2 linked regions of the Macaca fascicularis genome follow. The protein of the gene in region 1 interacts with the protein of each later gene in a pairwise test. Links are inferred from orthologs where the notes say so. Each region holds a gene or a part of one and is shown on either strand. Other genes may lie near its edges. The genes, in order: SETDB2 and ARL14EP.

Region 1 (4,600 bases):
GCCCAGTGCAGTGGCTCACACCTGTAATCCCAGCACTTTGGGAGGCTGAGGCGGGCAGATCGCCTAAGGTCAGGAGTTCAAGACCAGCCTGGCCAACATGGTGAAACCCCATCTCTACTAAAAATACAAAAATTAGCTGGGCAGGGTGGCTGGTGTCTGTAGTCCCAGCTACTCAAGAGGTTGAAGCAGGAGAATCGCTTGAACCAGGGAGGGAGAGGTTGCAGTGAGCCAAGATTGCACCATTACACTTTGCACTCCAGCCTGGGCGACAAAAACAAACAAACAAATATCAATTATTTTGCTGTTTGTTTTGTTGTTTGGTATTCCTGATGGGAGATGTCTTTACCATGTATTGTTGATTCGGTTGTTCATCAGTTAATGCTGAATAACTGAAATCTAAGCTCAAGGCAATAATATATTGGCTTTCTTTTCATGCAAGTCAAACTGCTAAAATCTACCACAAAATATTAGCCTTTCATCAGCTTGCTCTTCAGATCCAACACATTTTCCCCTCAAATGAAAGACAATGCATGCCGTCCATTACAATGCTAAAAAAAAAAAAAAAAAAAAAAAAAAAAGGGAGGAAGGAAAACGAGGTTAAGTCCTGTCTTCTTCCTCCCACCCAGAAAGAGCTCAGAAATTAAGGTGCTTTCCCTAACAAAGCTTCCTCCTGCTCCATGAAGTGACCAAGCACGTCATGGCAGACCCAGAGATTTATAATATATCGTTATCGCGGAAATCAAGATTTGACAAAATTCTTCCTTCACGTCCCGTTTCCGCCAAGACCACCACTTTCTAGCTTAAAATGAAGGGAAAAAAAAAAAAAAAAAAAAAGACAGCTGTAGGAATGCTTGAATGCCCGCTAAAGAACAATCTTGCCCAAACGCAAAACTTGACCCCCACTATTACCAAAGGATGGTCTCAAAGAGTAACCCTCGCGAAGAGCAAACAGTTTAGCAGCCGCTCCCTCGAAAATGACGGAAGAGGAGGTCTCTTTTGAACCTGAGAATAGTAGTGAGGCACTCCCCTTCCATTACTAGCTTTGCTTCTTTCTCAATCAGGCAGTTCATCAGCTAGCCTCCTTTGTCAAAGGGGGTTGATGGCCAGAATCTTTGTGAGACAAAGATTACTAAAGAGCTCCCCGGAACCAAGGCGTGAATGTTAAGGCATCAAAGACACCGCCCAGCCCCCACAACGACCAACAAACCAAAACCTGGGATCCCTACTATTACCACCACCACAACCACCACCACAACTACCACCACCACCACTCCTCGCTCTCTCTAGCCAGGGATGAGACTCAGGCCCAGGAAGGAAACCCATCCTCTCCGCAAGTGAGAAGGCGCTGGGTCTCCTCCCTTAGGCCTCTCCTCTACCCCAGTGTTCTCTCTGGACCCCTCCACTACGGCGAGACGCTATATAAGTTTTCAACCCCCAAGAAGCCCAGTCCCAGCCACACACAAGATGGCAGCCCCACACCTACCGGAGGAAACAGCTGCGCCACCACTCCAGTGATGCCGGCCTCTCGACTACGAGTAACTCCATTGGCCCAGCGAGAGAGCGCGAGACAAGCCGAGAGCGCTAGCAGCCAATCGAGAGGCGGCGCGCTCGGGCGCCACTGCGGTGCCAGCGGTAAGCGCGCCGAGTCTCTGAGGCGTGAACCAGTAGGGAGTGCGACCAATCAATGGGCTCCAGGCTGGGTGGTGGGACGGCCGGCGTCCGACTCCTCCCATGTAGTGATCGCTTTAGGTGGGTCGGCCTGGTCCCCGGCGGAGGTTCCGCCGTGCCTTATCCCGGGTGGAGGCGAGGCGGGACTGTTGTGGTTGAGATGAAGGCTAGTAAATGGTGAAGTACTTCCCGGCCAGAGGGCACCTGCGCTCGGGAGGTCTGGGCGGCTTGGCGTCAGAGGAGAGTCCCACCCGCGGAGGAACCCAGCCTCGCCAACGGAGCTGGCAGAGATCACTCCCCAGGTCAGGCGGGCAGCGTAGAAAACGCAGTGGAGCCAGGTGAAACCGAGGCACCGCGGTGGGTGACCCCCGACAGTTCCTCTAGCCGGGCGGTTCGGAGGACCTGACAACGCCGCGGAGCCCTCGGCCGCCCGAACAGGGACTGGACCCTAGCCCTTGCAGCCTCCCTTCTCCTGGCACCCAAGTACAGTCCTGGCTGCAGAAGGGGCCGCGGGCGCATTGAATTCTCAACCTCCATTTCATTCAGCCTGTCTGTCTGTCTCAGGGTGCAGCCTTTATGAGGTGATTCCTAAGCTGCTGGGAACGTGAGGCTGTCAAAGGGGCGGCAGGAAATGGACAGCAGTATAAAACCCAGAAGCAGAACTTGAAGGTTTAACCACTAGCCCATTTCACAGGTAAGATTACACGAGCCCTTAAATACAGCAAGTTCAGTCATTCATCCAAGATAACTGAGTTCAGATTAGATAGTAACACTTCTAACTCGCTATCAGCCGCAGCCCAATAAGTAATTAAGTAAGGAAAGATATGTAACTAACTGTGCTCTTTGGCATGTGGAAAGCTGCAGTGAGCTCTGTAAATATTAACGCATGAGGCCAAAGAGAGGAGTAACTTTGAAAAGGTCAAATGGAGTAACCAAAGCATAGGCTCTGAAACCATGCTGCTTGGTTCCTTATTTTGTGTCTGCCACTTATGGTATGACATGCCTTAGCTTCCTCATCAGCAAACGAGCTGCCAATGTAACCCACATGACTGTTAGGGGGATTAAATAAGAACACGTGAAATACTTAGAAGCGTGACTAACCCGTGGTTCTGTCGTTATAATTAAAACGTAAGGAGCCGATAGGAAATGGTCAGTGTGTTTTTAAGGCCTATTTTTAGAAACGAAGAGGGACCATACATTGAAGCAAAGCAGACTGGCTTAGTTATTATGCCAAAATGAAAAAGAAGGGGAAAAAAGTTTTTTAAGCCCATTTACTCTCTGAAATATTAACACCAGTTGTCTCTGGATGATGGGATGGTGTTTAAATTTTCTCTTTCATACTTTATTGTATTTTGCAGATTTTCTCCAGGAAACATGTTTCACTTTTGCGCGTTCAGTTGTTTTCAAATTTTCAGGTGTGAACGCTGCTGAGAGCTGCTTAAAAACAAAGATACGGGCCGGCGCGGTTGCTCAGGCCTGTAATCCCCACACTTTGGGAGGTTGAGGCGGGCGGATCACCTCGGGTCAGGAGTTCAAGACCAGCCTGGCCAACATGGTGAAACCCCGTCTCTACTAAAAATACAAAAATTAGCCAGGCGTGTGGTGGCGGGCCCGTGTAATCCCAGCTACTCGGGAGGCTGAGGCAGGAGAATCGATTGAACCCGGGAGGCGGAGGCTGCATTGAGATCACGTCACTGCACCCCAGCCTGGGTGACAGAGCGAGACTCCGTCTCAAAAAAAACAAAGCTATGGCCATGCACGGTGGCTCACATCTGTAATCCCATCACTTTGGGAGGCCGGCGGGGCAGATCGCTTGAGTCCAGAATTCAGGACCAACCTGGGCAATATAATGAGACCTCATGTCTAAAAAAAAAGTAAAATAAAACTATTACTGAATGTGCTTAAGTGGAAGTATAAATTGGTAGAACCTTTCTGGAAGAGAGTTTGACAATATGCTATAAAAAGCTTTAAAATGAACAATTCCTTTTTGAACATTTATATATACTTAATTTTTAAAAATTAAGTACACTTTTATTACAAAATTGATACCTTGTAGATAAAGAGCACAATCCAGATTTTGACCTTGAGTTTTTTCTTGCCTGTCAAGGTTATATTTATCTCGTAGAAACAGTTGAGTAGCTTCCCGTATTTTTCCTGCTTGGAAGTTCCTATATAATAAAAATTCTCTGTTCTTTGAAAGTTTTGTAGAAGGAATGTTCCCTCACTCCTCTCCCTCCCTACTCCTGCTGGAGACTTTGGTACAGAGCTGTCAAGTGTTTTTTAATACTTACACCTTTTAATACTGTTACATATTCTATATAGGTGAATATATACGTTTGTATTTTTTTAGTGGAAAAATACCATACTACATCATTCTGTAGCTTTATTTCTTGACATTGGTTTTGCAGTCTGTACATGTTATTTATAGGTCATTATGTTATTTATGGATCGTTTCTTTTAGCTGCTGCATAGTGTATGACTCAATTGATCTGTTAATATAAAATATTTCTCTTTGTCTCTTTTACTGGTCTTTTTGTTAAATCCTATTTTGTTTGATGTGTGCTGTATAGCACATTTTATTGCCATTCTCTTGAGAACATTAGGTTTCCAGTTTTTTGCCATACAACAATGCTGCAAGGAAAATCTTTGTGTTTTCTTGTGCACATGTACTATTTGTTAAGGATATTATACGTAAAAGTGGAATTGCTTGGTTTTAAGCTGTGAGCTTTTTTAGTTTTAATAGGTCTTGCTAAATTTCCTCCAAAATACCTGTACTAAATTACACGTTCCACAGGTAGTTTATGAGAGTTAAGTTTGTCTACAGTTTCCTCCCACAAGAAGTATTTTCTGTTGGGTGCAGGGTTCTATACATTTTTTGGATTAAGCTTGTTAATTGTCATTTAAATCCTTTATACCCTGATTTTTTGCCCAC
Region 2 (3,819 bases), on another chromosome or scaffold:
ATAAAAGGAGGTATGTCCGTACATATACACCAATGCTTTTCAAATAAGTGAATTACTTTAATTGTAATTATTTTAACTCTCATGCCAAAATGATTTGCTTCAGTTCACTGCTACCTTCTTAGAAACAAATTTTTGGAATTGAAAGGGATACCTTAATTTTATATGAGTAAAAACAAAGGCCTTCATAGGTTTTTACTAATTCCATATTATCCAATTTAAAATATGAACCCAGAAAATTCAAAATTTAAGAGAAAAATAGGGGAACAATGCAGATGTGAAGCAGCAAGTTAACATGTCTTCAATAACACTTAGCCTACCTGTCTGAACCAGCGGTTGCATTTTTTGTAAGCCTTCTTTTTTCTCTTTTACCAGTTTCCGGAGCAAATTCAGTTTGCCTTCCTGGATTTGTAAATTGTAGTGACCTCAAAGCTTTAGCAGTTCTTCCCTGAAGAAAGGTAAACAAATTATCAACTCAAATCTAGACATCAGACAATAACATTTCATTTAATGTTAAACCAGATGACTTCCTAACCTGGAAGGCAGTCTGGAACATACAAAAAAGAAAACAAGGTTTTCTTGCACTTAGGTTTTAGAGCCTAAGTGCAAGAAAGTTTACACGGCCCTAGATCATATTCAAAGTGTATTGGTTAATGTATTAGTAACATTTTCATTATTTGATTTTAGTCTCTGGTATATTAGGAGCAGAGGAGGAAGGCATTGTGAAAACCGCTAATGGCTGCTGCCAACACAGGCAAGAAGGCACAAAAACTGCTGTATAATCCAGTGGCACATAACTGATTTCCTAACAATCCTGGGTCCTTAAGGATTTCTTGTTGTTTAAGGGTTTATGTTTGTTATTTGGGGAGGAAAGAGCTGCAGCTGATATATTCTACAAGAACATTGGATAGATAAGGTGAAGACATCCACAGTGACATCATCAGCAAGTATCTAGTATGAACTGCAGATAAACTGGGCCCTCAAGATGTTCCTCTCAGAAGAGAACAACAGGAAAATAGTATAATTTCAAATTTCAACTATCTTTTAACTTGGTTTAATAAAAAGGAGAAAAATATTCCAGAGGTAAGAATTATGAAATAATTACAAGTAAAAATTATGAGAAGTGCTTCCTTGGCATGCTTGTCCTACACAAAAGATAGCTTTACGAAATCTTAAGTTGTTCTGATACGGTTAAATATGCATGTAGGCATGTCAATAAGGAATAGAGGAAAAATATTTAATACTTTACAATGTAAAAATTTATTATTATTATTTTTTTACCACGACGAGTCCTAAAATCAGCCTTGACCATACCAAGTAGGAATTCAGAGCTAGAAGCAAAGAAAACTCACAAGCATTTAAAAAACTCAAGAATGGGATAGTGTCAAAGGAGAAAGAAAGAGTGAAATAAAAAACAATTACTATAAGTCATCTCTCTAATGTTCCTTTTAAAGCGGTGATTTCCAGGTCCTTCATATAAAGGCAAATTCATCCTGCTTCAAAGACACTTGCTGTTTGCTATGTCCCATGTAGTCACTTTGGTATCAGAAAAGAAACAAAATTTTGGCTTGGCCGGAATGTTCTGAAACCCACTCCTAAAGTCTTCGTACTAAAAGTTGTAGCTTGGAGTCTCAGGCATATTTTATTATTCCTTTCCCAAGCCTACTTTCTTTATCCCCCAGTCTTGACCTTCAGTGTATGTGAATAATATTTAGACACATCATCCACTTTCACCCCCTCCTTTTAATTCACTGTATCCTAGCAAATATAGTAATACTGTAAATATGATTTTCTTATAGTTAAGCAAAATCCTACATGGTAGAATTCACATAGAAAAAAATGAATATTATACATACATCTGACTCAGGTTTCCTTTTCTGGCGGTCTTCAGTATCAACATCCACACTTCCATTGATTATCTGTGTGCATTTTGGACAAAGCTTCCAACCAGGTACAAGCTGTCTTCCGAATTTTGCACTCAGAAAAGTGGCATCATCTAAGTCAATTACATGCAAATTTTTTTTGGCTAATTTTTTGTGTATGTTAAATGGGTCACAACACGACTTCTGTAAATCCTCAAATCTGTCAATGTAAATTTTTACATGATGAAAGCAAATTGTATTGTTCCCAGAAAGTGTCATTCCAGTTCTAAGTTGAAGTAAAAGCATATCATTTGATGACAATTCTTGCAAAGTCTTAAAACCTGTGTGACGAGTATAGTAGGTTTTATGGCACTCATTTGTAGTACGAAGCTGGACTCCAACTGAACATGGATCCATCATTCTTGATTCTAGCAAATTTTCCCTGTTTTATTTTGTCTAGAGGTCTAGGTCATGGGCTGATCACCCTAGAGAAAATATTAAAGAGAATCAAATTTGTGCTGCAAGTTTATCTAGGAAACTGAAAATGTATTTGATAAAATTCAACACCTGTCTAAAAGAAAATAAGGAATAAAAAAGGTATTTACCAAAGTCCTATAATAGACATTTAATAATCAAACAGAAGCATTCCCTGAAAAGTCAGAACTTGGCGAGAACACCTGCAATTACAGATTATATTTAAGACTATATAAGAATTAAAAAGGAGGAAATAAGAAATATTATCCAAAGATACATGAGAAATACAAGAGGTTTAACAAACCATTAGAACTAATAAGAGAATTCACCAGGGATGCTAGAAACCGAAAAACACTGTATCTTACAAAATATGTGACTCTTACAAAAAATATGTAACAAGTCCTTCATGGAGAAAATTATCAAACTGAAAGACAAAAAAGGTACCCTAAATAAATGCAGCTATATATCATGGAGTGCCTCATTATAAAAAATCTGTCAATTATCCAGGAATACATCTGTAAATTCAGTTTTATTCCAATCAAAGTTCCATCAGATATTCTACTCCCACCCCACTGGAATTTAGCAAGCTGGCCTATATCAAAGAGTAAAGGTCTAAGAAAGCCAAGGTAATCATGAAGGAAAATACAGTAACATATTGATTTACTATAAACCTATTCTAATTGAAACTATGGTATTGGTATAGTATAAACAAACAGATCCATGAGTAGAAGAGGGCTTGGTATATGACATGTGGTACTATTAATCAATGGGTATCACACACTAATGAAGAAGGGACTTTAACCAGTTAACCATATGGAAAAAGGATTAGATCTCTTCTGCACAAACAAAAATCAATTACAGGTGGATTAAAGAATTAAACATGAAAAGAAAAACTAAACATTTTATGAGAAAATAAAGAAGATTTTCTGACATGGGAGTAGGGAAGAATTATTCAAACAAGCAAGCAGGTACCAAAAAAAATAAAAAGATGGATACATTTGATTATATGTAAAATTTACACATTTCTGTATAACTAAAGGAGAAAAAAATGACACTTGAAAGGTGTTGTTAGGATTATTATTGTAAATATTCGAGTAACCCCTCACTTTAAAAAATCAATTAGAAAATGACAGAGTCCATTGGAAAACTAAACAAATATAGTTAGGCAATTCACAGAGAAAGAGAACAGCATACAAACTGTTTCCCTCATAGTTCCTAGGAAAATGCAAATTAAGTATCATTTCTTAAACATTTGCTTGAAATCAATTTAAAAATCTGATATCTGGTTAAGATGTGTCCAACCCTTACATGCTCCTTATAATAACTTTGGTAGGAATGTAAATTGCTGCAACTGCTTTAGAACCTTTTCTGCAATTTCTTGTAAAACTGAGGAAGCATATACCTTGGGACTGACCTCTTTTCAGTTCTGGGCGTCAGCTGGAGAAAAATATCTCCAATACGAGCACAAGTTATATATGAAAACTTT

What was found.
Region 2: the proteins of SETDB2 (region 1) and ARL14EP interact in binary tests that used the Homo sapiens proteins (3 or more experiments, as listed by UniProt). The two-hybrid records come from large-scale screens. The link is inferred for Macaca fascicularis from reciprocal best matches to the Homo sapiens genes SETDB2 and ARL14EP.

The regions. Positions count from the first base shown.
Region 1 is NC_088391.1:28,603,543-28,608,142, forward strand, and holds the start of SETDB2 (histone-lysine N-methyltransferase SETDB2), read left to right. Parts: upstream 1-1,721; 5' UTR 1,722-1,749; intron 1,750-1,771; exon of another isoform or gene 1,772-2,232; 5' UTR 2,233-2,362; intron 2,363-4,600. UniProt on the Homo sapiens protein: Histone methyltransferase involved in left-right axis specification in early development and mitosis. Specifically trimethylates 'Lys-9' of histone H3 (H3K9me3).
Region 2 is NC_088388.1:35,223,604-35,227,422, forward strand, and holds part of ARL14EP (ARL14 effector protein), read right to left. Parts: intron 2,345-3,819; 5' UTR 2,280-2,344; coding exon 1,854-2,279; intron 446-1,853; coding exon 318-445; intron 1-317.